Linked DNA regions of Alligator mississippiensis. The protein of the gene in region 2 interacts with the protein of the main gene of each other region in a pairwise test. Links are inferred from orthologs where the notes say so. Each region holds a gene or a part of one and is shown on either strand. Other genes may lie near its edges. The genes, in order: SP2, FHL2, JUP and CCDC92.

The links.
Region 1: the proteins of FHL2 (region 2) and SP2 interact in binary tests that used the Homo sapiens proteins (3 or more experiments, as listed by UniProt). The two-hybrid records come from large-scale screens. The link is inferred for Alligator mississippiensis from reciprocal best matches to the Homo sapiens genes FHL2 and SP2.
Region 3: the proteins of FHL2 (region 2) and JUP interact in binary tests that used the Homo sapiens proteins (3 or more experiments, as listed by UniProt). The two-hybrid records come from large-scale screens. The link is inferred for Alligator mississippiensis from reciprocal best matches to the Homo sapiens genes FHL2 and JUP.
Region 4: the proteins of FHL2 (region 2) and CCDC92 interact in binary tests that used the Homo sapiens proteins (3 or more experiments, as listed by UniProt). The two-hybrid records come from large-scale screens. The link is inferred for Alligator mississippiensis from reciprocal best matches to the Homo sapiens genes FHL2 and CCDC92.

Annotation. Positions count from the first base shown.
Region 1 is NC_081827.1:167,528,407-167,535,765, reverse strand, and holds the start of SP2 (transcription factor Sp2), read right to left. Parts: upstream 3,203-7,359; coding exon 2,997-3,202; intron 1-2,996. Other genes in the region: transcription factor Sp6, read left to right, coding at 4,970-6,079. UniProt on the Homo sapiens protein: Binds to GC box promoters elements and selectively activates mRNA synthesis from genes that contain functional recognition sites.
Region 2 is NC_081824.1:347,635,426-347,642,685, reverse strand, and holds the start of FHL2 (four and a half LIM domains protein 2), read left to right. Parts: upstream 1-4,228; 5' UTR 4,229-4,326; intron 4,327-7,260. UniProt on the Homo sapiens protein: May function as a molecular transmitter linking various signaling pathways to transcriptional regulation. Negatively regulates the transcriptional repressor E4F1 and may function in cell growth.
Region 3 is NC_081827.1:163,145,416-163,152,661, forward strand, and holds the start of JUP (junction plakoglobin), read left to right. Parts: upstream 1-4,072; 5' UTR 4,073-4,166; intron 4,167-4,507; 5' UTR 4,508-4,589; exon of another isoform or gene 4,590-4,599; intron 4,600-7,246. UniProt on the Homo sapiens protein: Common junctional plaque protein. The membrane-associated plaques are architectural elements in an important strategic position to influence the arrangement and function of both the cytoskeleton and the cells within the tissue.
Region 4 is NC_081833.1:6,110,061-6,117,273, reverse strand, and holds the start of CCDC92 (coiled-coil domain-containing protein 92), read left to right. Parts: upstream 1-3,963; 5' UTR 3,964-4,058; coding exon 4,059-4,068; intron 4,069-5,092; exon of another isoform or gene 5,093-5,195; intron 5,196-5,347; exon of another isoform or gene 5,348-5,405; intron 5,406-6,506; exon of another isoform or gene 6,507-6,951; intron 6,952-7,213.

The DNA.
Region 1 (7,359 bases), on a different chromosome or scaffold from region 2:
CCCTCTGCTAAGTCACATTTCTGCTGTAGAGAGGGAGGGTTTTCCCCCCTTCTTTTGCTGCACACAAACAGACAGGGGAAACCAGAGAACAGGTCACCGCATACACAGCATTAAACACACTGCTGCAAACAGACTGACTCCCTTCTGCTGCCTCTATCCCTTCTCTCTTTTCTGGTTATCACCCTTATGGCCAGGGTGCCTGATTCCCAAGCAGCCCACTTGGGCATCTGATATCACAACAACAGGCAGCAGCTTTTAGACAGGGCATGGATTTTGAGCTGATGATGTCCCCTTGCTCCTAGTCCAGGACTTTATTCCTCATCCCTGCTGTGAACTCCCTTTCTGCCCATATCCTGCCAGCACCACTGGTCTTTCCCAGCTCCCCATCTCAGTGCTGTCAGACCTCTCAGATATTTCATTAAAACCCGCTGGTCTTCCTCTCTGATGGGCTTTGTGGGTGCCAACCTTTAATCATGGAACCAGGACCTCCCATTGGCTCTGTGGAGGTCCACGGTTTTAATGTCACTATGTCTTTTCTGGACTTGTTCACACCTGGGTCTCTGTTCTAGATGTTGGTCTACCTGGAGGTCAAGGCAAACTGACACCTCCTTTGCATTCATCCTCTCCCTGAGACACCCTCTAATGCCAATTTCCCCCTGTTTCAGCACTGTCGGCTTCCTCTGCCTCCCATGCTCCTATTTTATGATGTCAAGAGTAGTGCTTATCTTTGATCCCACACTTCCATCACAATGCAGGGCACAGTGGGGCTGGGGAAGAGGTTGCAGGCCAGGGTTGAGGAGCAAATAAAGTGGACAGAACTTGTTCTTTCCCTTGGTTGCTGACCTGTGTTGCTTTGGGTGCTGGGGAAATGGTTTTGGTGTTGGGTCATTCTTGTACAGTGCTGGACTATTTGGTTGTGAGTGGTCATTAGCAGGATGGGAAAGATGGCCATCAGCTCAAAATCCATACCCTGTCTAAAAGCTGCTGCCTGCTGTTGTGATATCAGATGCTCAAGAGGGCTGCTTGGGGATCCAGTGTGTTTAATGCTGTGTATGAGGTGACCTGTTCTTTGGTTTCCCCTGTCTGTGTGCAGCAACAGAAGGGGGGAAAACCCTCCCTCTCTACAGCAGAAATGTGACTTAGCAGAGGGCCCAGGGGTGGATGTGGAGGCAGCTGAACTGAGAGCTGCCAGGCTGGGTATGGGGCATCTAGATGCAGGCGGTATCCAGACACATGGGCTGGATGGAGATGGCCACTAAAGTGGTGCCGGAGCTGAACCCCAAAGAGGAGGGATGGGAAGTTGAGGGCAGGGGAGCCAGTCCTGGCAGGTGGATTTCAACATTGGGGTGGGGCGCCCTGCCAACAGGGTTTCCACAGCTCGGCAGCATGAGTCACAGGCTCCTGGGAAAGGAATGGGGATCCCATCATGTATAGCCGAGGCCCTGCACCCCAATCTCAGCCTCTGCAAAGCAAAGTAGAGCAGGGCTAGGGGCAGTAAAACTGAACCAAGGTGAGCTGCTGAAGGGAGCTGGCCTTGTATATGCTGGGGCGATGAGGGTGCTTTGGGGTGGCTAGAAATGGCCTCTGGGCTGCCTGGGATTTTTGCTTTGTCCCTGGTGGTTACTCTGGTCCTGGCATCCTAGGGCCTACAAAACAAAGTAAAAATCCAGCAGGGCCTAGAGAAAAGATGCATCAAATGGCTGCACCAGATGTGCAGAGCATTCAATTAGCCCCCTAAGTTCCCCATGCCAGTATCTGCCTCATCTGTTACCCTGGAGTTGTTGTGAAGACCTCATGCTGCCCTGTTGGTCCAAGCCTAGCTGCTCAGAACCAGCTGTGTAATCGACAGTGTGTCTTTTGGGTTTGTTCATGCCATATTGTATTTCATAGTAATGCTGCTATAGCAGAGCAGGCCCCTATGCTGGAGCTGCTGCAGAGAGGGAAACAAGGAGGGTCACAGGGATCTGTGGGAAGGGAGCAGGGTTCATTGGTTCGTGATGGTGTTGAGTGCTGGTGTCAGACAATTCCAAACCTCTGCCCTGCCTCTACAGACCTCCCAAGGCAACCAGATGCCCAGTCCTGTGTCTCTGGGGTAGCAGCACAGACAAAGTACAGTATAGAACATCTCCTATGGGAGTGAAAGCCACCACTCTGCCTCATTCTCCTCTAGGAAGGGTCTGAGTGGAGACAATAGGAGGAAGGATGATCCAGGTATTAGCCTGGGGCTTGGGAGACCTGGGGTCAGTTCCTTTTTCTGCCACAAATTCGCTGTATGACCTTAGGTGAGATACTTAGCCTCTCTGTGCCTCAGTTCCTGACCCGTAAAATGGGATAACAGCCCTTCCCTACCCCACTGGGTCTGAATGTATTAAAGATCTGAGGTGCTTGGATAGGAGTGTAATGAGAGCCAGCTCTTTGCTATTGGAGAGAGCTGTGCCCTTGCCCAAGGACCTGGTCCTTGTTCATGCCGCTGGAATGCTGCTGATCTACACCTGCATTGGCAAGAGAAGAATAAGGTGCCACCATGCCACGGGCAACAGAGAAAAGTTGAACTACACATGGTGTCTCCTACCAGGAGGTGCTGTGTTTACACACTATGGCATTAGTTGTCACAAGGAACAGGGGGGACAGGGAGGAGGCTGCACCCTAGGATCAGCATCCCGGCCCTGCATATTGTATTGCAGGCTGCACCTAGATGTTGCATGTCTGTGGGCTTACAGCAGTTCTGGCAGAAAGTTGCATGGTGGTTTCCTTACAAGTGGTAGAGAAAGGTGAAATGCCATGATGGCTTCCAGGACCAGCCTTAGGGAAAATGGAGCCCTAGGCAATCTTGTATTTTGGTGCCCTTTCTTTGAGTTTAAGAATGTAGTAGTATTAGTGAAATTTCAGAGATAAAAGTCCGAGGGGCGCTGCTGGGCTGGATCAGGAGTCTTGCTTCCCCAAGGCATGCCCTGGTGGTGGCCAAGCAAGGCAGGGGGAGAAGGGTGAGGGGAGACTCATTTTTCACCAGTCCTGAGGCAAAGAAGGTGAGCAGTGCCAGGCAGATGCCCATGATAATGAGCAGCAGGAACATGAGATGCAGGTGCTGCTGGCCTGCAGAGCCATAGGACCTGTAGAGCCAGTCACGGTTGAGGGGTGGTGGGCACTGCTCACAGCCCACTTGCGTTGCCCAGTCCAGCGGGTAGTGGCGTTTCCTCATCATTGCCGAACCCCGCTGCTGGCCAACTTCCACCACCACCTCCTCCAGTGCTGCAGGTAGGGGGAGAGGCAGAGGCAGGCGGGCAGGGGCATGGGGCACAGTCTAGCAAGGAGGCAGAGGTGGGGGGTGTGTGTGTGTGGCATCCCCTTGACCATGGCACCCTTGGGGGTTGCCCATATCACTCACCCATAAGGCTGGCCCTGCCTAAGACACTGGTGTCATATCCTCAAAGGCACTTGGGTATCTAATTCCTGTGTCAGTGCCCAACTCCCATGGCAATCAATGACCACAGATTTTACCACTGAAAGGATGCTGGCCTAGTTTATACCAGGAGATGCTAGAGGTACCAGCTGTTGTGTCCCAAGCAGTGGCTGTGCTTGCACACAGTCACCGTAATGACAGTGTGAAGTGCCTTGCACCTCCCTTTCATTTACAGTGTTGTCTGACCAGCCAGGGGCCCAATGGAGTTGGGGATTGGAAACAAAGCTTGGCCTGCTTTGGTACATTGTGCATGGGCCAATCCCAGGGACAAAATGCTACTGTGGGCCATCTCCTAGGGTTGATCACCCTTGACCAGCCAATGCCTACATGCTGCTCCCATGGGGCTAGGCCTGAGGTGCTGCTAAATGATGCTGATCTGTTCCAGAGCCCTTTTCAGAGCCATGAGAACAAGGCTATAAATACCCAGCCAGGTCTCCCCACACCCCTGCCACCCCAGGCCCAGATCAGAGCAGCTCAAGTCACATCCAGCCACAGAGATGAGGAGACTGTAATTACTGTAATCTACTTCCCAGAAGCTGCCTATTAGAGGGGCCTGTCTCCAAACGCCTTTTAGGAAGGGAGAATAAACTATATTTAAATCCCCCTTCCACAGAACAGCCTACCCCTGACTTTGTAGGAGCCTCTAAAATACCTTCCGAGCCATCCTGGCTGCTTGGCTGGCCCATGAAACCAGTGACAACAGTTTCTAGGTGCTACCCCAGGACAGCCAAGGCCTGAGACAGTAGTTCATGCTGTTAACAGGGAGAGAGGGCTGATCTATTGGCATAAGCTGGTTCTCCTCTTTCAGGAGACCCCGCTATAGGAAGTAAGCCCCATGTATATTAAGGGATTGAGAGCTGCATCCAACCAGTTAAGGGCAGCTGGTGGGGTGTCACCATGTTCTCCTGACCTGATGACATTGACTCCCCGCAGTTAGCCCAGTGGGGCAGGATAGCAAGGAAGGTGGGTGACCAAATGGGCTAGGACTTGGGAGACTTTGGGTAAGTCACATAAGTGCTCTGCTTCATTTTCCCCACCTGTAACATCGGGATAATGACCAGGAATTCCTTTTTGTAAAGTGCTTGGAGATTTATGGATGAAAAGAGCTGTGAGAGAGCTAAGTATTGTTACTGCAGCACAGTCTGTGCCTCTTCAGTGCAGTTGATGTAAGACAGGAGCACTTCCAGGCAAAATTTGTCCCTGGAATAGATCTGCTGAATTCACGAGAGCAAGGTTAGGCATGCATTTGACTCCTTGTGCCTTGGAAGGTGCTCTGGGCAGAGAGGGACTCCATAGTATCTCAGCCCTCTGATGAACAAGTGGTCTTGATGTGAACTCTGTGGCTCCAACTCATCTCTGGGACCCAGGGGGAAAGGGGAACTTTGGTCCGTTCCAAGGAAAGAAGGCACTGGTTTAATATTGAAGGAAGGGAAACGTGTGAGGTTCTCACAGTATTTGTCTCCTCCCTCCAGGTCTGTCTGGGCTGCCTTGCTGCTTTGGAGTCCGGCAATGCTAACAGCTGTCTGTGGCTCTCTTGGCAATCAGCACTCGGACACACCTTGTGCCTCCCCCACCCACCTGGACCTGCAGCCACTGCAGACTTACCAGCCTCACGCCAGCTCCGAGGCAGGAGGTGACTTTTCCTCTCTCCAGCCCCCAGAGCTCCCACACCTGCCCTTGGTGGTCCCTGACGTAGAGTTCTCGGCCACCCCTAGCTATGACCTGCATGGCTCTTCACGGATAGACTTGGACAGTGACAACCCGCTGGCTCCCAGCTCTTACTCCAAGCTCCTGCAGACACCTCCTGAAATGGCTCACCACTACGAGCCCTGGTTCAGGCCCTCACACCCCAGCAATGCTGCTGAGGACAGCAGTGTGAACCCCTGGTGGGACCTTCATGCTGGATCCAGCTGGATGGACCTTCAACATGGTCAAGGTGGCCTCCAAGCGCCAGGCCACACGGGGGGACTCCAGCCAGCACTGGGGGGCTATGGCTCCACCGAGCACCAGCTCTGCGGTCCGCCTCACCACCTTTTGCCCTCTGCCCAGCACCTGATGGGCCAGGAAGGGGTCAAACAGCTTGAATCTCCGCAGGATCCCCATGTTCTTGAGCAGGCCATGGACAGCACTGCTAGGCCGAAGAGCTCGAGACGATCCATGCCACGGAGCTCTGGTCAGGCTGTGTGCCGCTGCCCAAACTGCCAGGAAGCTGAGAGGGTAGGACCGTGCCCAGACAGTGCCAAGAAGAAGCACCTTCACAACTGCCACATTCCTGGATGTGGCAAGGCTTATGCCAAGACGTCCCACCTGAAGGCCCACCTGAGGTGGCACAGTGGGGACCGCCCCTTTGTCTGCAACTGGCTTTTCTGCGGCAAGCGCTTCACCCGGTCTGATGAGCTCCAGAGACACCTCCAGACCCACACAGGCACCAAGAAGTTCACCTGCCCCGTGTGCAGCCGGGTCTTCATGAGGAGTGACCACCTCAGCAAACATATGAAGACACATGAAGGCACCAAGGAGGGGGCAGAAGGAGAGGGGAAGGGTGGGGCAGACCTTCCAGGGAAAGGGAAGCGAGAGCCCGATGCCGGAAGCTCCAGCACCCTCACCCAGCCCAACTGAGCCCCTGCCCTCACCAAGACGTCCCTGCCCTGCTCTGGTGCCATGTGAGGGGTGCTCCCTACCTGCTGCCTTACCTTCCAGCTGGTTGTACATGGGACTGGTTGTACATGGCTGTCCCCTCCGAGAAAGTGGCTATTTATTCTATTGGGGAAAAAGGAACCTGTCACGATGCGGTAGGTGGGGTGGGTGGCCTCTCCCTCCAATGGGGGTGGTGGAGGGGGAATTTCAGGGAGGGTCCACCCTCTGATCCAATAGAGTGAAGCTTTGGGGCTGGTCTCCAGACTGGATCCTGGAGGGTGGGTAAGGGCGAGGCTGGATGGGAGGGCATCATTCTTACTTGAAGGATCTCAGTTGGGGGACTGTGCTGATGGGCAGCAAAAAGGGGCCCCAGCAAAGCAATGGGTGGAGGGATGTCTCCTTCATACATGTCCTTGGCCACAGGCTCCAGATCTTAATACATCCCTTCCCCTGCACAGAGGAGAGGGGTCAGAATCCAAAGCTGGGGATTTGCGAGTCAGGCTTAGCTTGCAGAAAAGGCAGGTGTTCTCATCTCAGCCCTCCCCTACCATTCCCTTGTCACCCTCCTTCACCTATCACCCCCCACCCTCACCTCTTTTCTTTCCCTACCCAGGTACACATACAGATGAAATGACCCTGCTGATCCTTTCACAACTTCCCATTTGTTCCATGCCACCCTGCCTGGGCAGATCACAGAAGCTGGCTTCTGCCCTGAGGTGGTTTCACTCCTCTCTCTCTCTTTCTTTCTCTCTCTCTCCCTCTCTCGGGCCATGGAAGCTTCCACACTCCAGAAACCTTTTGGCCTCCCTGTATTTTGTGCTGCTACAACTTTTGGCACAAGGGAGGTTGTTTGGAAGGAACATCAATCAGGACCTGAAGCAGCTAATGCCCTTCCCTCTTGCAGGACCTGCCGTGACACGTCTGGGGCGAAAGGGGAGAATCACACAACAATGGCTTGGGAACAGCTCGTTAAAAACAGCTTACCCTCAAGGGAGGCTCCTGGAGCTGGGGACTGGAGGGGACTTCCATGGCTTGATGGAGGGCTCTGCTCCCCCTCCGAGATCCACCCTTCACCCTCCTCAGTGAAGGAACATCCTCTACTCAATGTGGTTTCAGGCAGAGCTGTTGCCTACCCTGTGAGTGGCAGTGCTAGGGTGAGGAGGGTGAGATGGTCCAACCGTAATCCAGCTGCATTACTGCCTTATAAGCTCCAGTTTGTAGCAGTGAGGACCCCCCATCTAGGGCACTGGTTTACAGCTGGT
Region 2 (7,260 bases):
TGGACAAACCACCAGGGAGGAGTACAAGAGTATTTCTTGGGTATGCAGGAATGAAATCAGGAAGGCCAAAGCACAACTGGAGCTTTGGGGACCACAGAGAGAGCAAGGGATGTGAAGAGTAACAAGAATGGTTTCTACATGTTCCATGATCTTCCTCTTGTTGCTGACCTACATGTGGGTCCTTTACTGAATGGAGGAGGCAGCCTATTGATGATGATGCAGAAAAGTCTGAGATTCTCAGTGGCTTTTTTACCTGTATTCACAGGCAAGGTCAGCTTCCAAACTACTGAACCTGGCAGCAGCCAACAGTGGTGAAAGAACAGGTTAAGGACTACAGAAAACCCCTGTGTGACCGGTGTCCATCCCCGGGCCTGTAGACCTGACCCTCTCTCCCTGGGCTACCCAGCCACCTATCTCACCAGCCATGCCTTGATGGAACAATAAGTATGATGTTACTCAGGTGGGAGGCTGCCCATTTCCTACACCAATGCTAGGGGTTGCTGCTCCAAACCTTCCCTACATGGTGGCCCACATCTTGCAGATGGTTTATAAATGTTGACCTATGCCCTAGGGAGTTGGGTCGGCTCACTCCCTGTCGTTGTGCCTCTTGGCACTGGGGTCTGCCACCTGTCACTGCACCCCCTGGTACTGGGGGTCTGATCATCCCCTGTCACTGCACCCCTCCTCCCCCCACCCCCCCAGCACAGGGGCTTTGCACAGTAGTGTGCCCCAATGAGGCCTTCTCTTTCCCAAATAGCCTCAGCCACTGGATAAAACAATAACATAAATATGAGCCCCTGAGCTATAACATAATACAAGTCATACAAGCCACACTCTGGCTCCTTAAAAACCCCAAACTGCTCCTCGTGTGTTTAGCACCCTCCAGCTCTGGGTACCTTGTAGATGCCTGGAGCCTCATTAGCCACAGCAACAGTCTGGCCAGCAGCCACAGAGTTCCTGGGTAGTTCTGCCGTGCAGGAGCTCTCTTCCCCTGGCCACTTGCCAGAGACCTCCTCCTGCCAGCCTTGGCCCTGGGGTTTATATGTGCCCAGAGGCCTATCCCCTTCCTGTGAGCTGACTGGCCTGGGTTTTTGGACTATTAACCCCTACCCTCCTGGTGCTTGGTGTTCCTGTAGACTCAGGTCTTAAAAAGGCAGCCCTGCCTCTTAGTAACCGGACTAGGGTTCCCTGTTACACCCTGCTTGGTGCTGTTAATTGGTTCCTGAGAAACCAAGCATTAAGCAAAATGAGCATTAAGTGAAACCAAAAGTTTTTAACGGCCCCAGATGATGACTGCATGTGTTTTTAGTGACCCAAGATGGCAACCATGAGCATTATAATAAACTCACTGAACACTAAGTGGAATCAGGTATCAATTTTAAAATGAACATTATAGCATTAATGCATTATAGCATTATAGCAAAATAGTGCTAAGCAAAACAGACATGGAGCATGGTATAGGGAAGGATTAGAGTCACACACTTAGCACATAAGGCTTGAGGTGCCCTGTGCAGCACAGTACTAGAGTGAGGTCCTGCAAAGGGCCCAAGGACCAGTGAGTTCTTGTGGAGTTCAGTGGACCAGGGCCAACCACAAGCCTGTGGGCAGCCTCCTGATTCATTATTTTACCATCAAGACATGGCAGGGGAGGCAAGACTTGGGCACCCTTAGGGCAGAGCTGGCACAGTTGCGGAGCTGCCAGGGGCATCACAGCCAACCCTGGGGACCCCAACCCGTGACATTTAGTTTTAAACTACTTATCTTATTTAATTGGATTTTGTTCTGAGAAATGAGAAAAGACAGTTTACACAATAGCTACAGACACATGTGACATGCTAACTCTGTAAGAAAGAATATTTTCATAAAAAAATTATGAGATATTTCTCCAAGCTCCCTAATCTAATCTATCAGATCAGGCACACTGCCATGATGTCTGGAGATTGGGGATTCATACAGACAACTCCCATCAGCCAGAGCTATGTCATCAGCTGTTTTATCAAACTTCATTCAACTGACAATTTGTTCTGCCTGTGAACCATCTAGGGATGTTCTGTGCTACTATGAATTCTCAAAATGTCAAGTCCTAATTGGTTTGGGGGCCACAACCACACCTTCTGTAATGGCTCTGCCCCAAGCACAAATTGAGACAACATTATTCATTAGTGACCTTACAGTCAAGATTTCAGAACACCTGGCCCATTTTTTGAGTTACCCTGAAATACTTGCTGCTGGCCATTTCCACTATCTATATTATTTGTCATTTGAGTCTTTACCATCATCCAATCTGGGAAGATATCCCAGGGAAAAGTCCAGAGCAAAATTTATTTTTCTGTGAAGCTAAAAACACAAAAGTGCATATGGTTCAGAAAAAGAAATTATGCATACTTAAAGTCTGTATGCATGCCAACATTGAGTAAGACCTGTGAGAGAGAAACAAAAAAGATGTCCGTTTGGGAGTGATGTTCTTTGGAGTTTGGAAAATAAAGGAGAGAATAGCTTTGAAAACATTTATTTTGGGAAATTCTACTGAGACAGTCACTGAACTCAGTTTCCAGTGGCCAATTTCACTCAATTTGTTCATTTTGCTGCGTTAACATTAGGAATAACTGCAGGTAACAAGAACATGGAAAACCAAAAAAGAAATAAATATTGCCTCCTGCCACTTTAAGATATACTTGAAATCTGGTGTGCAAGAATACGGGGTATCCATCACAGTGCCTGGAAAAACAGCCAACAATAAAACTGAGCAAACAAAGAACAGCTTGCTGGAGTCTAAGAAAAAAAGAAAGGACAGCTCTTATTTATAAAATCTCTTCTGAGCAGCATAGGAAGAGAGTCAGAGTACTATTTCTGGGAGTTTCCTGATCCCATTTCCTCCATGGGCTGGAAATGATAGAAAGGGAACTTTGTCTTCCTCCCCTTTAGCCTCATACTTTATCCCTTCCCTGACTACCTTAGTGTGTGTGCTTGATTTCCCATCACAAACCTTTCCTAAATTACATTTCATTATAATACCCCCTGTTCCCTCAAAAGAATTTTAAGGGGCATTGCTCCTCTGTAAAACTATGTAGATTGAAAATCAGTTTCATTGGAGAGTGAGATGGCTAGCACCACATCCAAGAAGTCAGCAAGTGGGTATTTCTTTAAGCACCCACACTTTGCATACTCGTTTTGATATTTCTAAACTTAGCAAAAAAGGAGAGCCCTGGGATAATGAGATGCATGTGAGATCTGAAGAGGGTTCATGTCTCTTTAGGAAAGTTAGGGTGAGGTTCCAAATTTCAGGTTTACTGTGGGAAGCCAACTCCCAATCTGGAGCAACTGCAGTATCCCAACAGTAATGTAGCTAAACTGCAATGAACAACCCTATAATGACAAATAGGATATGCTATAACTGATGATGGCCAAGAGTAGTCCAGACAGATCTTCCACTGATGTCAGCCAGTCTCTGGATGACTTCAGGGCTGTGCTTATGTACAATTAGGATCAATATGGCATGCAGTCAGAGGCTTCCATTTGTAACGTCTCTGACTTCATGCTAAAGTTCCTTAAATGTATGTTCCTTCCTATGTGCTGATGTAACAGTGTCATCAAAGCGGAAGAATGGTCTAGAAGTTAAGCCTGTAGCCTGGAATTTGGGAGATCCAGGTTCAGTTCAAATGCCACAAACTTGTGTGACCTTGGACAAAGCCACTTAGCACCAGATCTTATTCCTCCTATTAGGAGCCTAAGTGCATTTGGTGCCCCATTACATCCTGCTAAGTCCCTGGAAACCCATCAATACATATACTTCTGTAGTGCTGCATCATCTTAAACCTCAGTCTAACATCACATCCACAGAAACTTCTTAGGTGTTTTTAGTAAAATTGAAGTTCTCACTCGATACATGAAAATGAACTTAAAATGAAGATCTGTTATTGTTCAGTTAGTTATAATAGAACAGGAGCAGTAGTGAAGGTAATGCCTTGATGATGCCATAGTACTGCACAGGGTGGGCAAGTATATATAAAGCTCAGGCATCCTCAGATTAAACAGAACAAAGGTCTGTGGTTGCTAAGAGCAGTGCAGCTCATTTCCATTACAGATCTTGTGCTACTTTAGGTATGATTCCTTAAAAGGCTAGCAGAACAGAGGTGCTATGGTTCTTATCTCCTTTGGATGGCTGGTCCTTTGGAGATATTGTATTTATAGCTCATCTGTAAACCAATGCCTGTCTAATTGCTAAATACATAGTTTGAGTAATCTAATAAAGCAATAAGCTTCTGCACTTGTCCTGTCCTCTCATTCTCAGACCAGAGAGCAGAGGCACCACCAAGCTGCAGCAAGGTAAGCACAAATCATTGTTTTTACTCCCCTTTCTGCCTCATTTTGAGAGGCAGACTTCCAAAATGCTCTACATACAGATCTACAGAAGATGGCATTCTTAGTGATTTGTTCATCTCTTCCTATAGATGTAGCATTTCACTTTATAGTTCCAGCCTAATGCTGGAAGCCAAACACTAAGTAACAGCTGTTCCTTATGCCTCTGCACTAATAATATACTGTCATGTTTTCACATTCTCAGAGAATACAACCATGTATAACTATAATCACTTCCCTGGACTCTGGGTATGAACAGGAAAGCGAGTGACTTCAGACAGAAAGCTTTTGATTAGTTTTTTTTTTTCCTCTATTAGCTTTTTCTCCTTTACTGATGAATATTTGGAAACAGAATGTGCATACAGAAACAAAAGAAAGATGAAACATATTGCTATTCAGCTATTTCTCCTTGACACCATTTCCTGATGGCCTTGGGAGAAAGAAAGTACAGATGACATTTACTGATGTCATGTTTAAACAACTATTTATTATGGATTATGGCAGCTGTGCAAAAGAAGAAAAAGTACTGATATGTTATGCAGTGTGAAAGCAGGAATTCTTCATAACCAGTATGTGAAATAGCATTAGCCAGAACTTGCAGGCAACTACTATCAGTTAAATGAATTATTTTTAACCTGATCTCAGAGTGAAGATTTTCAAATGAAGCCTAATAAAAGAAAACCTCTTTGGGAAAATAAGATAGTTTGGATGGAATTTGTGCTCACTTGATATGGTGTCTATGTTAGAAGGATTCTAAGCAAATACCTCAAAACTCCCCCAAAGTGGGAAAGAATCATGAAATTTCTTGCATAGATGAGGATTAAAGCCAATACTTTCACACTGTGTCTAAGGTTATTTATTATACTAATATTATGGGACTGAAATGAACATTTTCTACTTTTCCAAACATAGGTCGGAATGCTGTTTTCCACCCTTTTTGGGGAACGTGGAAGAGAGAGCCATATCTCTTCTCCATATGCTGCATCACAAATCAGATGTAATGTAGCCACCTTCATGCAGCACTATGACATCAGTTTTGGCACGTAACATGCGCAGAGCACAGTGGTATGGGTAACTGCGATGCTCCCTGTTGTGGTCCTAAGGCAGTACAGACAGGCCCTGAGAGTCTGAAAGCCTAGTGAAGTCTGCTGGAATGCTTCAGCTGGCTCCAACAGATTTGGATTGAGTTCAGTTTCTAAATGTGGATTCAGGTACCTAACTTTAGACACCTGGAGACAAATCCTCAGCAGGTGCAAACTGTCACCCACTGAGGATATTGCCCCTAAGCGTGAAAGTTTTAGAGCCAGCTGTCATGGCATAGTGCCAGCAGCACCTCTGTCTCTTCTTGCTGAGCGCACACACATGCAGGTGTTGGGTCTTGTGCCTTTATCTCCCATAGGGTGGAACTATGCAGTTCTTCTACTTTTACACCAGGTTTTAATTCAACGCCCACCATGCTTACTCAGGAGGTCTAAAAGGGTGCAAGTTGAGCAGTTATTTGTGAATCGGTGACCAGATGACCTTTTTAAGCCAAATCTTGTTTAATCCTAACAGGAGGAATATTGCATAATACAAGAGTAAAAGGAGTTTGAAAACAAGCAGCAGTGCACAAACATGTCTGTTTTATGTAAAGAATTACCATCCCTGGTGGATTCCTAGGAAAGGTTAATGTCTTCAGCTCTCCCAGAGGCTGTCAGTATGCATCAGTCTGTTTTTCAATAGTTATTGTTCCCCTTCTAGCTAGAGACTCTCTGTTTCAAATCCTTATATTCCTTCAGTCCTTTTGGCTCCCAGAATTTGCAAAATATATTTTTAATTTGGCTGGTGTCTAGAAGTAGCATCTTTATACCTAAAAGCACTGCTTCATATCTTTATGGACCTGAAGTCATTACTAGGTGTCTTACTTGGAGCCATTGTCCATTTCCTTCTTGTTTCTTCCAGTAGCCTACTATTAAATTAAACCAACCTATTCCTCAGCTTTGTATATGGACACTATGTTGAGATTTTTTTATTCTCCTTTAAAAACTGAGAAGGCATCTGTGGGAAGGAATTAGGTGTTTCATTTTACAGATGCTTTCTGTAAATGTTAGGCCAAAAATTAGTTTACATTTTATTTTACCTTGGAAAAAATGCCAGTGTAATGCAGGAATATATTTTTTAAAGCAGTACTCTTTGCTGCATTGAATTTAAAAGTCAAATTTGAAAAAGACCAAAACCACTCAATTTTAAAACTAACAACAGTTCTTTATTAACAACCAGCATTTGAAAAATACGATTAAATAGATAAATAACTTTATTTTTCCCTTCAAAATATCAAAACATCAGAACAAGAAAAACCTTTGATAGAAATTGCCAATAAGCTTAGAGAAGTAGATCCATTAAAATGGCTGTTTTACACAGAAAGTCTAAAAGGCTGTTTCTAAGGAAGAAAACTCAGAGAGGGAAAGGAATATGAACACATACTTTGAGTGAAATCTTGTCCCTGTTTTTTGAATTTTGCCCCAAACTTCCATTGATTTCAAGGAGGCCAAGATATTCCCTTTCCCTTTTATTTTAAATGACACTGAGTTTGTGTAGTTTTATAACAGTACAGGATTTTTCCACATCAATTTTCTTTTTGGAGGGCTAACTAAAAAATGTCTACTCACAGGCAGCTTGTATCTTAACTACCTGCAAGAGAGTTTTTTCAACTTGGATTACTTTTTACTGGCTGCAATATTTTATCTCTAGCTTTATACCATGGCAAGTTCAGTTTCATGCTGATAAATCCAGGGCAATTTCAACAATGTCAGTTCGTCATATAATGCTGATTAGGTCCAGGAGGCCTGACTGCATATTTGACATACTTCCCAGTTTTTTAAAAAGTGGGGTGACCATCTTTGCATGTTTTCTATCAACTGC
Region 3 (7,246 bases), on a different chromosome or scaffold from region 2:
TCAAAAGCAAAAGGAAAAACCTAATAGTTCCCAAAAAAACAAGCAGCACTGAAAAATAAGACCCCTGCAGGCCAGCTCTGTGCGTCAGAAAGGAACAACAAATGACTCAAGTTCTTGTTTTAGAGGTCTTTTATTTTTTGTTTTGCTTTATATGCAGGTCACTGAGAACAAAAGTTGTTTTTTTCCCCTCTTAATAAATTCTCAGCAATGTCTTAGGGGCAGCAATGATTGCAACAGGTTTCACGTGCAAGGCTGCTTGCTTGTACTCAGGATGTGGATTTGATTGAAAGCAGAGTGAGAAGGGGTTAATAAAATTTCCTTCTACAGGCAGAGGAAAATATGAATACAGAGCCCAGAGTCCCACCAAGGTGATAACTGACAGGTGAGCAGAGATATTGTAAGGATGGGGGGAGGGAAGATTGTGCCAGGAAGATCATTTCGCTGCAACCAGCCAAGGTGTAAGAAGAGATAAGGAATGGGCACGGATGGCAGTAAGGGAGGTGCAGGAGGCAGGTGACTGCAGGGCTCCATCTCTGTGCCACCACTGTGAAACCGGAGCAAAGCCCATTGAGGCTGAAATTGGCAGCTGGTTTCAAGCATGTTCTTTCTGGGGGTGGGGGATAATCCTGCTAGACAGGTAGACCCCTCCATCCCTGCTTTCCCAGAATGGGGGTGGCTGGGAAGAATGTGTAATGTACAAATCACAGGAAAATGCAAACCTGAATGGAAATGGAAAGAGACAGGACAATGGTGGCAGCCACTTTGCCTACTGGTTCTGTGGTTTGTGAAGCTATCCAAGGGTAGCAGTCCTTACACCTTGTAGTCAGGCCACATGCTTCCTGCCAGAACACTCCTAGCTTCCAGGAACAAGTGCTTGGTTACACTGGGACCCAAATGCATTGTCTTGAAACTCTCTGTGTGGAGAAAGACACAGGTGCCTCACCTAAGTTGCTGTGCAGGGCCATGCCTTGCCTGGGCTGGTCGTCTTGTCTGTAAAAGCACCTGATGATATCTGCTGTGCACATGTTTGTTTCCAAACTGTGCAAGCCATGAGTAATGCCACAGTCATATTTGGCTCTGCTCTGGCAGCTTTCATCTGAAGCTTTCAAAGCTCTTTGCAAATATGAGGCAGCCAGAAGGCCTCTGATAATTAAAAATGGAAAATAGAACGCTTTGTGTTCCTAGTAACACCTTCTGTGGGAGGATCGCAAAGCACATTCCAGCAGTAATGAATAAATCCTCCCCCTTTGCCGGAAGGGAGGTGAGTCTCATTATCCTCATTTGAGCAGGGAAGAAGAAGAAGAAGCGAATGTGGGTATTTAGGGACAATATTTTCAAAAGTGTCCAGGGATTGTGGGTGTTCAACTTAAGACTCCTTGGCCTGCTTTTTCCAAGGTGATTATGCAACTCCTGTGAAAATCAGGGCAATGATCTGAGCACCCAGAAATTGATGTGCCTGAAATCAGAGACTGACATTGGGGAAATTTTGTGGCTGAAGTGACCTGCCTGAGTCCCTTGAGGAATCAATGACAGATCAAGGAATAGAAGGCAGGCTCCTGACTCCCAGTTTGAACCCCAAACCTGTGAAACCCAATCGGCGTGCTGCCATTTTTCTGCACTGTACCATTGTCAGGGATAGATCTATGGGGGGTGCAGTGGCATGGTTGCATGCCCATTCCACAGTAAATGTCATGCACCAGTGTGACATCTCCCTGTGCTTGGGTCTCCTGCCGTGTCCAAGACATGGCTGGAGCCCTGGGCTGGAGTGAGACACCCAGGGGGATAAATCAGGGAGCAGCTGAGTGATGGGGGGCCTGCCCACTGCAGCCGTTGTCTGTAGCTGACCAGGGAGTGGTGGAAGCCACAGGACTGCTCCTATCCTGCTCCATCCAGCCAAGGGCTGCAGGGACTGGCTGAATGGGCTGCTGGGTCAGTGGCAGTGACAGAGAGGAGTTCCTGCTCCCTCCCCATCCATTGCATTTCCCCCGCTGGCCAGGGGCTCCAGCTGTGGGGAGCACATGCACAGAGGGCCAGGCACATTGCAGGACGGTGGTATCAGTAGATGTTCTGCCCTGTCCAGCACCTGCTTCCAGACCATGGGAGAGAAGGAGCAATCCTGGGCCTTCACCTGCCTCCAGGTTAGTTGAGGACAGCACTGACAGTGGACTTCCAGGTGCTCCTGCTCCTTGTTAGTTCCCCAGGTGTCCCCCACAATCTGGGAGCAAGCACTGGAAGCAGGGACCCATATGTTGTCATTATCCCTGGCCAAGCCTGATGCTGCCACTTACCAAAGCCGCCCAGTGGAGTGGGGCAGGAGCAGCTCTGGAGTATCCCCTGCTCCTGCGATAGCAGGGAACAATGGCGGCAGTGGGTGGGTCCCCATTTTTTGCACCCAGAGGCAACCCCTGCTGGAGAGGTGAATGGGAGGGGAAGGAAGCGGGTGCTGAGAGTTGGGGGGGAGGGGGTCTTACCTGCTTTGTGAACTTAAAAAAGTCCTCAGCAGCTGCTACCTGGCATTGTCTGTGGTGGGGTGGGGGGGCCTTCAAAGTCTGTTGTGGCACCAGCGGCATTTCCTGCACCTCCTTTTCAAATTCCTAGATCTGCCTATAAACATTGTCCTACTGTTTCCCCTTCCTACCACCTCTTAACGTGATGCATTTTACCACTGTTGAAATACCGAGTCTTTCATACAGCGCCGTATCTCAGCAAACAGTTCTGAGAAGGAAATAATTTGGTTCCCAAGATATTTCACATTCAAGATACTTTATTGCTGTTTCGAGCCAGACAAAGGATTATCAAAGAGCGACTGAGATGGAACCCTGAGGTATTGGTCCCTGCTTGCATGTGTCCCTGGCGACGGCTTCGCACTACCACTGGGTTTTTTTCTTTTCCTGTCCATTTGTCACTATTGCCCATGAAAGGGTGGCAGGTTGCTACATAGCGAGACACAACTCCTACCATCTCGTTCCTCTCCCCTCGGGTCACGCACAGCTTTTCCTCATTGCTTTTTAATAGGAAGTCCTTTATCATTCCTGATCATTGGAGAAAATATGTTTTTTTTTCGCCTTTCCTCCGGACTCGTGATGCTAGCGTGTAGAAGTGACTCGCTCTTTCAATTTCTCTTCTGTCACATTGTTTGCAGAGCCAGTCCTGTCTGGGTTTGCGCTGTGTTGAGGGGGCGTGCAAGGGAGAAACCAATGCTTTCATAGGAGGCTAAAAGACAAATGGGGAGGAATTGGGCTGGTGCAGACATGAGGAGCAGGCTGCCATCAGAGTGGGAGCCGGGAGAAAGGTGGCCACGTCTAGATGAAGGGAGGGGAGCAGAGAAGGACCTGCTGTGCTTGCACCCAGGGCTTGCAGAAGGAGGAAGGTGCTTTGCAAGGTGCTCCTGCAATGAGCATGGAGCCAGAGGAGGTGTTTGAACGTGTGGCCATTGGACGTGGCTTGGCCCATCAACCCAACCAGGGGCAGACATTGCTGAGGGTGCCCGGGGGAGCAGGGAGCTGCCCATGGTGTCAGATCCCTCTCCGAGCCCTAACGCCCACCTGTTCCTACAGCCGGTCTCCCCTTGCCCATGGGCAGGGGCCCACCGTGGTCATTAGTAGGTGGGGGAACAGAATGCGGCGCGGTGGGAACCGCGCTGTGGCCGTGGCAGGGATCGGGGCCGCGGAAGGAGGCTCCTGGGACACAGGGCCGGGGAGGGGGCTGGAGGGCAGCTGTATGGCCCTCCCCCCGGCCCTGATCCACCCCAGCCCCGCTCAGCCTTCAGCCCCGCCCTCACCTGCATGACGTCACCCACGTGGGTTTCCCCCGCGCCACGCCCTCCCCAGCCCACCTGGCTCACTCATCCCCTCGACTCCCGTTCCGAACCCTCCCAGCCAATCACGGCCCCGCCTGCCCCCCCCCCCCCACCCCAGCGGAACGCGCCTCGGCCAATGGGCCGCCGGTCAACACAGACCGGGTGGTAACGGAACCCCACCCCTGCGGGCATGACGGAGCGCGAGCCGCGCCAATGAGCGGGCGGCGGTGAGTGGGCGGGGCGAGTGTCCATGGGGACGGGCGGGGAGGGCGGGGCCGGGCTGCGGGCTCAGGGTTCGGCTGCCTTTTGTTCGCGGAGGCGGCGGCCGCGGGCAGTGGCCGGGCAGAGCGCAGCGCGGGGCGCGCAGGTGAGTGCGGCCGCGGCCGAGCAGCGCCGTGTCCCTCCCTGGAGCCGGGTCCCCGGGCTCAGCCTCACCCCTACCCCGCCCGCCCCTGGGTCCCGGTGCCGGTGCCCGCCCGGCGGCGCCCCCCTTGCACCCTCTGCCCTGGCGCGGGGAGCGCGGCTCTGCCCAGCCCTGGCTGCGGGGCTCTGAGCTCGGCTCCCCGGGGGCATCCCGCCGGGGACGAGGGGCCGGCCCCGAGCTGTGCCCCCGGGAGGGGCCGGGGCAGGCGCCTTGCGCTCCCGGCCTGGCCCCTTTCCGTCGCCGCGTGGCCGGCGGCCGGGTAACAGGTGCGCACCTGCTTGCAGGGACCGTCAGCTGCCAGCCGTCCAGGAGGGTCGATCCCGTGGACTCGTGCCGCCGCCTGGGGAAGGAGCATACGCTGAGCTGGTATATCGACGTACGTGTGTGTGCTGTGTGTGGTGCTGTTAGTGTGTCTTTGACCAACGGCGCGGCAGTTAAGGGCTGCAAGCAAACTTGTAGGCATAACATTAATACAACTCTGGCATCCGACCCCTTGATACAGTAGCATTTGCAAATGGCCTTGGTTTCTGCTCTCCCCCCCCCCCGGCCCCTTTGAACGTGGCATGTGCGAGGCTACAGCTGAGCTTCCTGCTAGAAGTTGTGTTGCAAGGAGAAATTGGATCCTGATGGGATCTTGAGAGTTGGAAGGCTCTTATCTGTCTTGAGTAGCACGTGGGCCCCGTGACCCAGTGCATGCAGTACAACCAGCGGAAGGACTCCGCTGCTTATTAAGGATGAGTGGTGTAAACTGGGTTTTTCTTGGCTCTGGCAGCTTGACTTCTCAGCTTTTCATTTGCTGTTTGCTAATTTGGGAAATCGTGGGAACAAGTGAGGTAGCTTGATTTAGCCTTGATCGGTGCAAATGACAGAAATCACTGAGCGAGATCCTCTCCAAATTCACTTCAGCTGGTCCTTCAAATGTTCCTTTTTGTAAAGCGCATAATGGGGCTTTCCTGTTTTGTTGCTCTTTTCCGGCTGCAGATTCTTTGAGGAGCAAGTTTGCTTACTTGGCTGGCCTTTCCGTGACAGTACAACTGCTGTTTCACTGACTGTTTTGGGAGGAAGAGTCTAATAGTGTTCAGACATAGCTCTCCATATGCTGACATAAGATGGCAATTTCTTTCCAAGGCATGAGCACCAAGCACTTAAAACCATTCCTCTGTATAATTGACAGGGCAGAAGATCAACACATGAGCGGCTTTCAGGAAGAGATTGTAGTGCAGCTGCTTATAATCTAGGTATCGGAGAATGTCTGGTTTCTGATGCTGCTGTATGGTATTGGGTCATTATAAAACAATCGCAGCATGGTGCTTTCTGGGTTTGCTTGGAAAAAGTGGTATGTGATTGCGTGGCTTTTTGCAATACACACCAGTAAGTACAGTGATTATGTGTGTATTCGGGAGCATTTGCTGTTTCGGTTTCCCTCCATTAGAATCCACTGATAGGTTTCTCTTCCCCTTCCTTTCAGCAGCCCTAACCTTGGGTTATATCATTGACTGCTATTATGGCACCAATCCTGCTGGCTTGACAGGATGAAGGATGGTGAAAGCAAAGGCCTGGGAACTGGAGATGCAGGCTCTGTGCATGGATTCATTGTGGAGCTCCCAGTTTGACCTTGCCAGAGTCGCTTTGGGCCTATCTGTCAACACTACCCTGAGCTGTGCAGTGAGAATCCTGAAGTGCTACCGCGTAGTTTTGTCAGGCTTAACTTTTGAGGTTTCAGAAGCGCTTGGAGGTCTTGGGAAGGAACTGCTGGAAACTTGCAGAGTACTGAGGTGTCTGGTCTTGCAGCTTGTTGGGCATAGACACTTGAGTTGTGCAAGGATGTGTCAGGATTGTTTGCCACATAGTCAGCAGCTCAGTGTTGCTTCTGGGGTTTTGGCAGCTTGTGCCTCCTTGTTCTCTGTGCTCCTTCCAGGGAGAAGGGGAGGGCATTGCCCAGCGTCTGTCAGACTCCTCGGAGCCAAGTTTTTTTGCTCCTCTTTGAGCTTTGTCCTATTTGCTGCACTCCACAGGATGTTGGAGAAGCATGTGAGAGAGAGAAAATGAGAACACATTGGCTTTTGGGTGTCTGTCAGAGTACCACAAACTGCCTTAAAACAAGAGGGAGTTAGTGCTGCTGGTGTGGAAGTCAGTCAAGTGTGTAAGGAAGATATGAAATATGCTGCAACCTCTATTTTCCGAGTTCAGGTTAAAAAGCTGAGGAATGGAGTCTGGAGAAGGAATTCGTGCGGTAAAATTAGAAGTGTGCTGTCTGCTACGCTGCAGGGCTTTTGGGGGGGGGGGGGGGAGAATACTCCCTTGCTGTCTTAGCCTTGACACTGGGAGAGGAGAGGGTGCTCTAATTGCATTAGCTAAATGATTAGCTTAATTAATCAGCTTTATAGCACAGATGAAAGGATAGTTCTGGAGTGTTGCTGGGAGTTGCCTAGGAAAAAAAAAGCTCTTGTATGAGGAGCTTGAAAAGATGCTCTCTGCCAGTGCTTCTAGTAAATTTTTTTTTTGTGTCAGTGCCCTAGTGTAGGCTGCTCTCAGTAGGGAGGGTATATTTTAAGTTACGCTGAAGAATAACAGCTATGCAAAAGACTGTAGGCGATGTGCATGGCACTGTACGAAATATCCAAATGGAGATCCCAGGAACAGGTTTCAAAGGCCTAAGGCAGTTGTTCTGATGTGAAGTGGCTTGATATGTAGCACTCTTTGGACTTTCCTTTTTGGGCTGGGATCCATTCTAATGCCCTCAACAGCCGTAGCATCTGGGCTTTCGGAAGTGGTGGGCAGTGGACATCTTGAGCTGGGGGGCGGGTAAAGCTGTAAAATACTTGGGATTCTCAATCAAGGTTGCCATTGTCAGTCACTTACAAGTGGATGTCGTTAGTGAAGCCTGGCAGGCACTGGACCTCATCTGCAGAAAGTACAGGCATGTTATAAAAGAAGAGACCTCCTAATGCTGACCATTTTCTTGGGTAGAAATTAAGGAGAGTCGAATGTCCTTTCACAATACCATCCAGCTCTCTAGGAAA
Region 4 (7,213 bases), on a different chromosome or scaffold from region 2:
TAGGGTGCAGAGCAGAGGGGAGCACGCAGCAGCTCAGGGAGAGGCCAGGCAACACAGCAACCGATAGGGTAGGCAGCAGAAAGCAGGGCAGCATAGCTTGTGTTGCACTTAGAGTCAGAAAGCTCATGCTGCCCTTGGGAGCAGAAAGCAGAGCAGCAGATCAGGCAGGGAACAGGATTGGAGTGGCAGTCAGGGAAGGTGTAGAGTTCATCTGTAGCATATCTGCCCCCTCAGCACTTCAAATGCCATCCTCAACTGGACGAGAACAGACTCCGCACTGTAGCTGGGCCAAGCTGGGCTCCAGACTTCGGTTTCTCGCCTGTAGATAGAAGGTCAGATCTGGATTCTGCACCCTGCAGCCTCCGGGACATGCTTCCTGGTGCAGCTTTGGGGTGAGATACTGCCAGCCTCCCAAGTTTGGGAGTTCAGTTTGAGGCCGTCGCTGGCAGAAGTCCAGCTTGGTATGCAAAGAGCAACGGGCTGGAAATAGCAGTACTTTGCACTCACTTCCTACAGCGCAGCCTCTTTGAGGATTTCAAACAGCCAAGGAGATCCTATGGATGATACTTCACAACACCCTAAGAGATGACAGAGAAGTTCCCATTTTAGACATGGGAAAACTAGGCACCGGGAGGTTAAGATAATCCTTAGAGATCGTTCAGCAACAGCCCCTTTGGATGTGCAGCTCCCCTGTCATTTTGATAGGGAGGCAAAAGAAAACCCCTACAACTTGAAATGTCAGCATTCAAAAACTGAAAAAAAAGAGTGTTAACTTTCCTCCTAACTTTTCAGCTGCCTGCAGAGCTGGTTGAAACTATTCAAACTGAAACATCTGAAACATCAGGGGGCAGGAACTGAAAAAAAAAATCATAAAAATGTCACATTTTATTTTTAAATGTTTCTAACCCAAATGTGTCTGTGTTGAAAGCTCCCTTCCAGTTTCCAAGGGGATTTGTCTTACCTCAGTTACAATGATGCATTTTTTTTAAGTGACATGTCAGGTTCAAAGGCTTAACTGATGTGATGATGCCTGCTTTCATTCAAACCCCATTGTAGGGTTTTTTCCACCTCCTCCTTTTGTGCTCCATTATTAAGGAGTCACGCTGAATTTAACAACATGCCTGCATTTGCTTCCAGGAGACTTCAGAAGTCAGATACATTTGTCTTTCGGCAAGAGTCCTGTGCGACTCGGTTTCTAGGACACACAAATGGGCCCTAAATGAAGAGTCCAGCCTGCTCTGTCATGGTATTTGCAGCAAGCTGGTTTAAAAGGTCCAAGGGAAAATGGAAAAAGAAGTGGGATCCAACTGACAGGGCAGAAGACTGGTACAGGACGCTGCAGTCAACTCTTACCTCTGCCACTGGCTCACCGCAGGACCTCAGGCAAGTCACTTCAACTCCCTGAGTCTGAGCTTCCCTTTGATTTAGCAGTCCCCAAACTGTGGTGCACAGACCACTGCTGGCCCCCAAAGCCACGGTGAGTTGTCCCCAGCTCGACCGGAGATTGCATTGCTACCCCTTCTTTCCATTACCAGGTTGAGGACAAGGGTGCACGGTGGTCCACAAAACCTGTGGGCACCTCTTGACCTGTGCTAAATCGGAGGCGACAGTAACGCTTCGGAAGGATGAATCAGCTGCTATTTCTGAAGTGCTTTGAAGATGAAAATTGCTAGAGGAGCGATTGCTATGATGATTAGTGCCCCAATGGCAAAGCTGTTGTGGTTCGCTGAGGCACACAAGGGCCAAACTAAGGTATTTAGGTGCCTAACATGCTGATAGGTCCCAATGGGATTTTCAAAAGCCTCTACAGGAACTCCCAGGGGAACCCGTCACAAGTAACAGAGAATTATACCTGTCCTTCACAGCTCGCAGCTCCTCCAGATTTGCAGTGATTGCTGACCAAGGGCATTTAAAAATATGCCAAGTAGGACCAATACACAGGCCAGGTCAAGGGACTGGTGAATTTGGTCCCGAGAGAAAAAATCTGAGAAGGGGTGGAGTAAAGCATTGGGGTTTGCCAGCCCTGGGAGGATGTCACTTTGGGCAGTGAAGAGGCACACGCAGGGAAAGACTGCAGGCGCATCCAGCTTCTTCTATAGGTGCCTCCTACCATAGCATCTGAGCATCCATACAGTGAGACGGTTTCTCTCTTTCCAGCCTGATTAGGATTAGCGTTGTGTGCGGCTGTATGTGCACTATGGGAAAACTCAATAGAAGAAACGAGTTTAGCTCTTTGATACAGCAAGGTCTGTGGTCGTCCTTTTCTATCATGGGAGTGAGTCCCAAGGTCTAGACAGGGATTCGGTGACACGTCTGTCTCCTGCGTGCACAGGACTCTCCCTGCTGGCAGATCGCTGAACGGTCCCAGGGAAATGCAACAGAGAATAATTCTGGAGCGATGTTGCAGGCTGCGATGGTCCACAGAATAGGCAAGAAGCAAGGTTTGTTTGGGAGTATCGTTCACTGGATCGTGATTCCAGCGGGAGGGCTGGTTCCTCAGGTCGCCAGGGTGAATCTGGTCAAGAGCTTGCACTGTCCAGATAGCAAGTGAGCGTGGGTTCACAAAAGCTCATGCTCTCTATATATCTTATTTAGTTAGTTTGTAAAGTTGCATATCTACCCTGCCTTCTCACTGACTGCAGACTACCACAGCTAACTACCTTTCTCCGCAACTCTGCACTCTTTGCTCCATAGGTTTACTGTATCTTCCTCTTCTTTAAGTGGCTATTTTCAGTTACATCATGGAATTAAAAGTCACTGTGTTCCCTGACGTTAAGCTTGGGCTATGTCTTAAGAAGCCAGGTACAGCCCAAGACCTGAGACAGGGCATTTCAGGAAGCCCCAAAAGCTCGTCTAACATCTCTGCCAGCTATATCATTAATCCAATAAATGCTATTACCAAACAAGGTGCTTCAGTGCAGAAGTTCAGTGCTGTGCTGCTGTGTTGGGAACAGCCAGGGTCACTTATATGGGTGGATGCATTTTGCATTAGGTAGAATTGTATCAGGGCATGTCAGCATTGTTCCAGGACAGGAAAAGAGTTGCAGGAACCGATACAGAGGTGCGAGACATGGGGATCACCACGACCAAATGTGTCTGACATACAATAACCAGCTCCCTTTTAGGCAAAGCAGAGTCAGTAACACAGCAAGGTCTGCTAGCATTTACCTGTCACAGATATTGTATAAAGCTAGTTTTTAAGTACTTGCTACCAATGGCTTACAAAAGCCAAAGTACTGTACATTTATACTCTTACTTTCATCAACCAAACGTCTCATCGAAGAATGAAACCGGGTTTCTTCGATGAGATGAGTTTCCCGTAAAACCGTGTTGACTGGCGTTATGTTCCCACGTGCTCTCAGCCGACTCCTGCCTCAAGTTCACTATAACTTTGTCAGGGATTGATGTCAGGCTGAGACACCCCTTTGCCCTTATTGAATGCCTGTTCGACATTAGCGCCATGCCAGTCTTCTGGGATACGCTGTACTGTAGGATTCGTTAAAAACTACCGTTGGTGTGACAGAGATCTCCTCCCAAACTCTTTGAAGATTCATGGTTACAATGCCTCTTGCCCTGCTGATTTCAAAATATGTATCCCAACTCGATGTCGCCTACCACCCGTCTCAGTTACTATTGTGCTGGAAAATATTTCATCACTTGTGTGTGGAATGGTACATCAGCCTGCTTCTTCCCAAACACAGCAGAGCATTGGGTCAATACCTCTATCTTTTCTGAAAAATGAACAACAATATGCTCATCTCCACGAGTAGTGGACCAAGACCGCTACTTTAATTCCAAATATTCCTTAGAAATCCCCTTTCTTTACTTGCCTCTACTATCAGGGAAAAACATCTGTCCTATATTTAGCTTCCTTTATCAATGTTATATGCGCTCCGTAGCTTATCATTCGTATCAAGATATATTGCTAGTTCTATGTATTTCCTTCTTTCTCCGCTTGTTTCTAGGTGAGTTTTTTTTATTTCTAAGCGCAGTCTTCAAATCATCGTTGACTTTGGATGGGCTTGTAACGAGAGACATCCTCTTTGAGGATCGCGGAAATGCATCCAGGTAAGAACTCCTCATTTTCATTCATGTTTTTCCGTCCAAATGTTTCCTTCCAGGCAATCGGGCTCAAACGTTTCCTCTCCTTTTTATAAGCACAGAGGGTGTGGGCTTCCACCCAACGCGAGCAGGTCAAGTTCATGGGTTAATAGGCAGCCACTTCCTTCCCATGAATTCCTCTTCAGTCATGCTAATGGGGACCACCACTGAGTTGCCTTATGCTGGGTTTAATATCTTGTGTGTTACAAAATGATCGCTGGTAACAAAGCGCTAGTGATGTTACGTGACAAATCCGACCTGCGGCTCCGAACCCTGCGTCCCAGAACCACGGGGGTTTAGGTTAGATATTAGGGAAAACTTTCTCACGAGGAGGGTCATAAAACACTGGAACAGGCTGCCCACAGAGGTGGTGCGGTCTCCATCCTTGGAGGTTTTCAAGACCGGGACAGACAAAGCCTTGGCTGGGATGATGGAGCTGGAGCTGGTCCTGTGTTGAGCAGGGGGCCGGGCTAGATGTGACCCCCGAGGCCCCTTCCACCCTCATCTTCTGTGATCTATAACCAGGCTCTCGTTAGTTGGGCGGCGCTGCTGGCTGTAGGTCCCTGCCACGTGTTACATACATGACATGCTGTTACATGCATGACGCGCAGCATGTTACATGACGCGCTGCCCATCACATACATCAGTCACGGCGCATTACACGTGGTGCACTGCACGTTACATACAGGGCACCGCATGTTACATGATGCGCTGCACCGTACATACTGACACTGCACATTACGTGACACACTGCACATTACATGCGTGGCACCGCACGTTACACGACGCGCTGCAAGCGAGAGCGGCGCCCAGGGAGCGGAGGGGCCGCCAGCACAGCGCCGCGCGCCGGGCTGCTGTCGCGGGACAGCCCCGTCTCCCACGTGGGCCCAGCCCGCCCTGTGGCAGAGCACGTGACCGGGGAAGGGCAGGGTGGGGCGCCGCGCAGGCCCCGCCCCCAACGGCCGCAGGGCGGGGCCGGGCGCGCGGCGCAGCTGGTGACCTCGTCGCCACGGCAACGCCGCTGCGGTGGCTGCCGCCGCACCTGCGCTCTGCGCCTGCGCCGCCGCTGCCGCCGCCCGCCCGGCCCGGGCACGGTGAGTGGTGGGGGTGGCTCCGCACTGCGGGGGCCAAGGGCGGGGGCTTCCCGGCACCACCCGGCCCCGGCCCCGGCCCCGGCCCCGGCCCCACTCCGCAGGAGGGGAGGGGAGGGGAGGTGGACAGCTGCCGCCGCCGCCGGGCCTGAAATTGCTCCTCGCTGCTGGGGCGGCCGCGGGAGACCTGGGCTCGGCCCCCAGCCCGTAAAGGTTGGGCCCTCAAATACTGGGGGGTTCGCCCCCCACACACTCCTATTTTTGCATCAAAATAGTGCCATTTTCGCCCCCAAAACTGTGGTTTTAACCCCAAAATACCGCAGTTTAAGCTCCCAAAATACTGTGGCTTCAACCCACAAAACCTGGGGGGTTAGCCTCTGAAATACTCCAATTTTAGCACCAAAACACAGTGCTTTTAGCCCCCAAACTGTGGTTTTAGCCCCAAAATACTGCAGCTTCAACCCACGAAAACGGGGGGGAGGGGCTAGCCCCTAAAATCCTGGGGGTTTAGGCCCCAAAATCTTGCCGCTTCAATCCACAATAGCTGAGGGGTTAGCCCCCCCCCCCAAACTGGGGGTCAGCCCCCCCAAATACTCCCGTTTTAGCCCCCCCGATCATGCGGGTTTCTGTGGCGCCATCGGGCCCAGCCCGTGGTCCCTGCGCTGCGCGGGGCGGGTCGCGGGACCGCGGGGGTCTGGGGGCTTCGGCCGCTGCGAGCCGGTCGACCTGCCTCGCATGCTGCCGTTTGCCGCTGGCTCGCTTGCTTTCTCCGGACTTGGGAAAGCTGGCGGCAAACGGCCCCTGGGAAATTTTGAAGGCAGCTGTCAGACGGTACGTCGGGGTTGTTTGCCCCACGTCGACATTGCTGTTGTACGCGCCCGACACGCGCGTGTGCGTGTGCATGGACAGGCGTGTGTATACATGTGGATAATACAGAACGTTGAAGGACGTTTCATTTTGCATCACGAACGTGAGACGATTTAGTAGCTCCGTGTTTGTTCGCGGGGGTGGGTAAAGTTCGGACACGTTCGTCTTCCTGAATCTGTTTGAAAAAGTGACGCTGTCGATTCGCTTGTCAATGACACATGGTGGCGTTTTCGGTATATGATATCTCGCTGTAAGATCAGTGACCCGGCAGCTTAATGTTGACGCTTTAAGGGACCGTTCTGGCATCGCCAGGTCGGAGACTCTCTGATTTCCCATCGGTGAAGTTAAGCCGGATTTAGGAGTTGAAGGGGGCGGTTGGAGGTCTGAGAAGAAGGAAGGAGCTGGGTCTGGGAGGGAAGTTTTAGAGGAGCTGAAGTAATTGAGGTCTGGCTGTCATATTTAAGCTTGCTATGTCTGTTTTACTGCAACGTACAAAAAGGTGCTTGTTCCACATCATTATTCTTACTGCATCGCATAAGCACATAGGTGTCTTGCAAACATTAGACACCTTTTGTAGACTCTGCCCTGCTTTAGGTGCTGGGAACGTATTATGATAAGCGAATACGACGAGCACAAGCAATATCGTTAGACTACGAAGTGCAGCAGCTCTGGCAATGTCGTTGAAAACGGTGGTGCTGAATGATGCAGCCTCAGAGCATGGGTGGAGTTAAAGTGGGGAGGCTGCCCTTTGTTTGGAGAAGAAATCTTATCATTCAGGCTGCAGAATCAGGACTCCATTGATTTCCTTTGCATCTGGAGGATGCCATCTGAGCTGTCGTCTGATCGTGTCTTGTGTCTTCATCTGGCATAATATTCTAAAGAGCAAAATCAGGTGAATGATTTATTTGCTTCTCTTGAATTTTTTTTGTTCTGCTATTTTGCTCTTGCATCCAATGTCAGGCTCTCGGAGCGGCTTTGCCTCCATTTGCAGGAACCTGCACTCCTCTCTAATGAACCCACAGCTGACTACAGATGCCGAGGCATTGGTTACTGCATGGTATTAAAACTGTTCCCCTCCCCGGCAAGAGGAGGGAGCAATGCATCAGTACAGCAGTTAGTAATCATCAGCATCTATACGTGACCCTTGTCTCCAA